Danio rerio: one gene and its partner. The protein of the gene in region 1 interacts with the protein of each later gene in a biochemical or structural test. Links are inferred from orthologs where the notes say so. Each region holds a gene or a part of one and is shown on either strand. Other genes may lie near its edges.

Evidence for each region. The genes of interacting proteins can lie anywhere in the genome.
Region 2: the proteins of dlg3 (region 1) and net1 interact in a test that uses a peptide from one of them, tested with the Homo sapiens proteins (2 studies listed by IntAct, with this or other methods). The link is inferred for Danio rerio from reciprocal best matches to the Homo sapiens genes DLG3 and NET1.

The regions. Positions count from the first base shown.
Region 1 is NC_133189.1:37,620,395-37,623,864, forward strand, and holds part of dlg3 (disks large homolog 3), read right to left. Parts: intron 2,752-3,470; coding exon 2,710-2,751; intron 1,813-2,709; coding exon 1,762-1,812; intron 1,660-1,761; exon of another isoform or gene 967-1,659; coding exon 865-966; exon of another isoform or gene 784-864; coding exon 611-783; exon of another isoform or gene 476-610; coding exon 366-475; exon of another isoform or gene 279-365; intron 161-278; exon of another isoform or gene 72-160; intron 1-71. UniProt on the Homo sapiens protein: Required for learning most likely through its role in synaptic plasticity following NMDA receptor signaling.
Region 2 is NC_133179.1:12,171,195-12,174,952, forward strand, and holds the start of net1 (neuroepithelial cell-transforming gene 1 protein), read right to left. Parts: upstream 2,627-3,758; 5' UTR 2,490-2,626; coding exon 2,368-2,489; intron 1-2,367. UniProt on the Homo sapiens protein: Acts as a guanine nucleotide exchange factor (GEF) for RhoA GTPase. May be involved in activation of the SAPK/JNK pathway Stimulates genotoxic stress-induced RHOB activity in breast cancer cells leading to their cell death.

The DNA of each region.
Region 1 (3,470 bases):
GCTGTTTAGTTTTCACCATCAGAAGAAATAAGAGTAAATGAAGTTTTTATTGTGTTTTTGCTTGTTTTAAGGGAATGATCCGTCAGTGGGGTGAGTGAAATAATCTTGTTTTGGCTTTGAAATGTAGATATCTGGACTAGAAACAAGACAAACATTCCAAGTAAGAAATGTTTTTATCCAATAAATTCCATATAAATACTGTAGTTAAATACAATTCTGTAGCTCCACGCATTGCGATATCGATGCTGAAACGATATATTGTGCAGCCCTAGTAACAGAGCATTTTGTTTATTTAGAAAAAGTTACTGGAAGACATGTCATCGGTAGTCTCCTAATGGTTGTAGAAATCAAAATCTTCAACTTACATTAGGGCCTCAACAGATTTTGGCTTGATGAAAATGGCGATTGGATAGAGCTGTGCTTGCTGCAGTCGCTTTATGGCGTTCCCAGACACGTCCAGGATACAGTGTTTGCCCTACAACAGGATTAAAGAAACCCTTTCATCCTGTGTCACACTTACACTGCTCACAGTAATTGCCACAGGGAAAATATTGAAGGATTAAACAGGAGTGCGGATCCCCTGGCATGTTTACACTAGGGAGTCACTGACCCTTTCAGCCACTGCCCGAACAGACAGGATGCTGGTCCCGTACAGATTCTCGTTGAACTGGCCGGCCTCGATAAATTTGTTGTCCTGAATGTCCTTCTCCATTTGCTCTCTTGAACCCACAAAGTGGTAGTCCTGGCCGTCCATCTCATTCTCTCGCCGAGGACGAGTTGTATCTAAAGAATTATGATCTTTAATTTCACAAGTATTGCCAAAACACTGAAAGATTAACTTGCTTTGTTTTATATTATACTCACGTGGAACGCAGGATCCAAACTTGTGGGGAAATTCTGAGATCAAGTCATCGTTTACTCTGTCCTTCATCGGACCCAAGATAATCACAGGCCTTGTGTAATGGACTGAAAAGAAAGCCAAATCAATGTTGGTCAAAAACGTCCAGCCTTGAGAATTATTTCTTTGGCTCTCATTATGGAGGACATGGAAAACAGGATTTGAATTTCTTTCTGTGTAGCGTGTACCAAGTACATAAAGCTATCTAGCCAGTTCAACCAGAGCTTTTATGAAAACTAAAGTGCAAACACAGACTATTCACAAACTGTTAGTTAACAGAGACGTCTATATTTGCATATCAACTATGACCTACTGCTTATTCAACATCTTGCGCAAATGCAATGCAAGACGGCTAACTTGACCTACACTTAACCTTAATAAATAAAGCCATCATGTAGTGGTCAAGTCATTTAAAGAAATCTTAAACATACAGCAGTAAAAGCAGCCCGTTTAATTGTAAAGTTCAGTTCAAACAGTCACACTAATGATTCCAATTCTTCTGAAACAGATGACCTTTTTAAAATGGCAAGAAACATTTTTTATCTCACTTCAGTGATGTATACAGTAGCTCAGCCACGCAAAAACAAGATCAGAACAGCACATGTACACAGTGACTAATACATCAAACAACTGCTGGAATTTGACGCGTGTTGCATTGTGGGGAGTGTTAACTAGGATTAAGGGTCAGAGTGAGACTGCTCAACTAAAAACATGAAATGACCATTTTTGCTTGAATAAAATGCACATTAATATCCAATATTAATAATTGAGTCTTTTTTATCGAGCTGCCAATCCAATATTTTGATTCAAACTTAAAAAAAAAAAAAAAACAGCTAAAGTGAAAAAGGCATATGTATACTCACTCTCCTGTCGAATTACTGGCTCATATGAGAGAATTGTGTCTTCCTGACCCTCTGCATGAGGAGAAATGACAGAAGTATCCATTTGAAACAGGAAGGTTTCATTCTTCACCATTTAATACAAAAACAATCCACTTGAATTATCACTGGAATGAACGTGCAGGTCACATGACAAGATCCATGAATCATTGTTTTTATTTTTTTGTTCAAGCACTTAAAGTTAATGGCATGAAAATGATCAAATGGAATGCCGCACCTCAGCGGATTACACTGGGCAGTGTTGCCAGATATACTGTAGCTGACTTTTTCCAGCCCAAACGCAAAACAAAAATCCAAAATATAAGGTTAATTATTTAATTTTAATTTATTTAAATCTAAATTAATTAAGTTACTGTAACTGTCATACTTTTTAACCATAAAGCAACCAACACCAGCACTCGCAGAACCACAATATAACCAGATCAAATTGAAACACATCCTCAACTACACACTGCACTTGACGTGTAGATTACACTCCCTATTAGAGTATGTTTTACTTTCAAAATGGGGTATAAATTAGTCACATTTGGCGTTTAAATTCTTTTGAACATAATTAGGTGCTGCTTGGAAAAAATTATCAATGAAAGTGTGACAATAAACCAGGCTCTGCGTGATGCGCGTGCACATGAAGGGGAGTCAGATTTGTCCATGGAGTCAAGTTTTGATACAACTTTTCTTCACTTCCTCTTGCTACGCACTAGTCATGTAGGAGCACACAGTTATGTTTTGTTTAAAAAGTTGCATATAAAATTTACGTTTCAAAACTGCCCAAATATTGTCAATCCACCAATGACATTTTTTACTGGCACAATCAGATTCAAAACCACCCAATCTGGCAACACTGACACTGGGACAGACTTAACTTAGTACATAATGAAAAGCTTAAGCTAATGCACATTTAGAGCCACTTACTGGAGCTGCTTTCACTGTCACTGGTGTTGGACGTCAAGCACTCTGTGAATGAAAGGAGGAGGAGGAGGAGGTTTAGAAATGCCACAATGCACACTTTCATTTCTAAGTTTAACGGTATATCAATCCCAGCTCAGGTCAAAACTATACACCCTCCCGTACCATCATGCCAAGAATAGAAAAGGCTTAGTCAAGAAGGGGGGAAAATAAACAGAAAAGAACTTTTGGGCCCGTAAATGGCTGCCGTTTCCTCAGAAAGGAAATGGTAGGATGAGGCAGCAATAGCAAATTAAGTATTTCCTTTTCCTACGGTCTCACTGATCTTAGATTCTGTGCTGAGCGTTTCCTATGACCTTGCCAGTGTTGGGTTCATCAGACAGTGATACCGCTCCTCATGCCAAAGTAAACAAGCCAGTGTTGGGTTCCTTACAGGAATCAAATAACCAACATCTCTTAGATACACTGACAACATGATAGTGCTGGGATACTTCAAACATTAAACACACTCAATCCTGCCCAGTACCAGCTGGCTGTGAAGACTTCTGCCACCCACTTTCTCTTTTATTGAAGGGATAGTTCACCCAAAGGTGAAAATGCTGTCACCATTTACTCGCCCTTCACTTGACTTTCATTCTTCTTTTGAACACAAGAGAGGATGTTTTGAAGAAATCTAGAAACAATTGACTTCCATAGTATTAGTTTTTTTTCGACTTTGGAAGTAAATAGTTTCTGGGGGTTTTGCTTTCTTTAAAATATCTTCTTTT
Region 2 (3,758 bases), on another chromosome or scaffold:
GTTTTTTCTTTTGACAGAAGATTATTTTGCTTACCCCATTGGCAGATTATTTTGCTTGTTTTAAGGAAATTATTTCTCAAAACAAGACAATATGTTTTGCTTGTCTAGAAAACTCTTCTTGATTTAGGAATTTTTAGATATTTGGACTAGAAACAAGTGAAAAAATCTAAGTAAGAAAAGCATTTTTTGCAGTGTACCGCACCAAATTATGTTTTTACTTTTGATATTTGACGCCAGAGTTAATCAGCAAAGTTTTTAAATGTGATATTCCAGTGTTGCACATTCATTTAATTTGCATCTTTGTAAATTAAGCTATTGTCTTTAACTTTTCTCAGCCTTTTATCAACTATTCCCTTGATGTAGATGCTAAATACAATGTAGCACTGTTTTAAAACACTTCCTGCAGAACATTCTTTAAGAGACCACTTTGTCTATTTACATAGTAACTTTATTGTGGCGCTGGAGCTTTGATGTGTGGCACTTGGAAAGGAATTTGTTTAAGCAGTTATAGTTACTGAAAGCCATAACAGCAGACCCGAATCTAATATGTAGCAGGACGCTCTTCTGACATTGGCATTGCGATAGCCAAACAACCACCCTGGCGACTACACAGCAACAATTTAGAGCATCATAGTCGCAATTTGTACTTAGATTTTCCAGAGAATTAAACTTCCGTGCCATTTTGTTTGCTTTTCTGATAACTGTAGTTGGCAAAATGGGTTCCAATCAGGCAGAAGGCATAAGGCCTGGCATGACAGAAAGAAAACAGAATCTTCTGCCAAAATAAACTGTTGTTATTTTAGCCAATGATAAAGGCACATTTTAATGTTCTCCATCTGCCTGCATTCTTTCTCAGGGTTATGAGAGATATATTTCAGGCATGATCTATTTATATGGAGTATAATCTGATGTCCTCAACTTCTTTTTTTAATAATATCGGTGAAGTTGCACATGGATTTGAACGTCACTAACATTTCCTCAAAAATAAAAGCACTTTTGAAGATCACATGTTTTTTGAAAGCATTCACAGATGCATTACGGTTATGTATCACTTGGTTTGTTTTGCTTCACTTTCAAGTAGGTCCTTTCTAAATACAGCACTGTCTCAAAGCACTTATGTAATATTGTTTGTCCGTTTGTTAGAAATTCAGCTGCATTACACAAGACAATGTCTATTGTGTACACTCGCTGGACACTTTATTAGGTACATCTGTTGCACAAACAAATGCAAACAGCCAATCTGAATGCATTTTGGCAGGTAAACATGTTCAAGAACAACGTTTTTTAATCACGTTCCTGGAGGACCACCAACACTGCATGTTTTGGATGTCTCCTTTGTCTGTCACACCCATTACAGGTCTTTCAGTCTCTGCTAATGAGTCTGATCTGAATCAGGTGTGTTTGATGAGGGAGTGTTTGATGAACACTGGTCAAGAACATGATCTGCTGAAGTTCAAACCAAGCATCAGAATAGGTAAAAATTTATATTTAAGTGACTTGGCATGTTTTTGGGTGGCAAAAAGGCTGGGATTTTCATTACATTACGCCATCTCAGGGTTGCCAGATAACAGAGAATACAAGTAATTCAAATAAGCATGTGTTTCTGATTACTGATTAGCATGTTCAGCTGTGTTTGATTAGTGTTGGAGCAAAACCCTGCTGGACAAAGGCCCTCCAGGACCGAAGTTGTCCATTCCTGGTGTATCTAATAAAGAGGCTGCTGAGTGTATGTTTATGGTGTGGCTTGCCTTGAACTCCATTGTTATTTTGTGAGACGTCAGCGCCATCGTGTGGTTTGGTAAAACATTGCAGCCATACAAGGTTGCCCTCCTGCCGTCATGCTTTGTTTTAATGTGACGACGTATTGCGGAAGTTTTTCTCACTTTGAGAGCAAAACAAACAGAGATCTGTACTCGCCAGTCCATAACTCCTTAGAGAAGTTATATGATCTACATATATAGCCATTGAGGAATATTAACCACGGGTTTACCACAAATAAAGGCTAAGAAACGTGTTAGTAATTTAACCACAAATTAATCATCGTTAAATTGTAGTTTTCCCCACACCTTCCATAGTTTTTTTTATTTAAAAACGTGATTACAATATTTGTAAGCAATACATTTCTGCTATTATTACACTTTTACTATATAAGAAACATGGTTATTTGTCGTAAGATGTCGTTTAAATGTTATAAATGAGTTAATAACGTTACACTTCCTCATTTCCCGATTCGCTGCAGTTTGCACATTTGCAGAATATGGGATAATCTGCAAAGGAATTCGCAGACTATAATAGTGCAAGCTGTAACGTAGTAATAATAATGATGTATAACAACAATAACAATGCGTCTGATATTATCTTCCTGACCGTTTGAAAGTGCGCTCTGGGGACCCGTCCGCCTCCACCATTGACGACTTTCTCTTGCTCCTCTTCGGTCTTTCGTTGACTGGCTCTGCCATTGGCGCTGGAGATCCGTCGGTTTCTTCCATTTGAAAGACGTGGACTTGGATTGCGTTACTGTAAACTGTTTGTATAATACGTAATACAGTTAAAAACGGGTTATTTTAGGGGGGATGAATAGAAAGGGGAAGCTAGCTATTCAATGGATAGGACGGATTTTGAATATGGCGGAAATCTAAAATCATGACCAATCAGGAGCGGTTAAGAGTAATGGGGGAGGGATTTAAGGTGACGAAACACCTCTGCTTCTGCTCTGCCTTGTAGCCTACATAAAGGATCTGTTTGGTAAATCTCATATTCATAAATGTGGAAAAATTAATTCTAAACCTGTTTTTTAAGGGTTTTTACAGTTTATATGTGGACTCGCTTTAGTGTATTAATAGTAAGAAATGTCAATATACAATTATAATAGCCAAACAATTCAAATTAATTGAAGAATGATCTTGATGTCTACATAATTTATAATGCCTGATGTACTGAAGTTATGGAGACATCTATTCTAAAACGAACTAGTCTTTTGTTTTATATCTGAAATGTAAACTGTTAACTCAATTTTTTTATATATTATTTTGGATCTCATGTTAGAATTATATACTTGTTGTTGTTGTCTCTAATCAAGAGTAGATAAAGGCATTGTAAGAGTAACACACTTCATCAACATCAAAACATATTTAGACTTGACTTTAGGTAGGAACTTGAAACAAACTAATCTCTTAATGGTTAAATGATTTTTATTTGATGTATTTTCAACTTTTGTTTTAGAAACCCCTTAGTGTTTTTGTATGTTATTAGAAAATATAATATAATGTAAAAAAAAAAAAAAAAAAAAAAGTTCAATATTACTAATATTGGTAAACATATAGCGACAATGCACTGAAGCATTTAGCCTTTTTCTTTACTCGACTGCATTTCAAGATAAACTGAATAGTACTGATAACATGTAGATGTTTGCAATGGACATTTTTCAAATAACAGAAACATTTTGGCTTCTGGATCTATTCTCAATAGGATGACAGTTGAATTGGATGAAGAGTTACCCCTTACAATATCCTCATTAGTGCTAAGAACGTTGGTTTTGCTTATTTCAGATTAATGAGGCTTATGGTTACTCATTAAAAATCACTTTGAGCAATGTTGGCCACAAAGAAAAGCCTGACTGTTCACAGCGAATACACTTTTTGTGAGTCAGTAAAACCAGTAAACGCTTTATTGTTTGTTTTTGCTTTTTTTCCCCTTCCTCTTTTAATGCCAACTCATCCCGAACAGAAAATAAATTTATCAGTGTATTATTTAGTAAA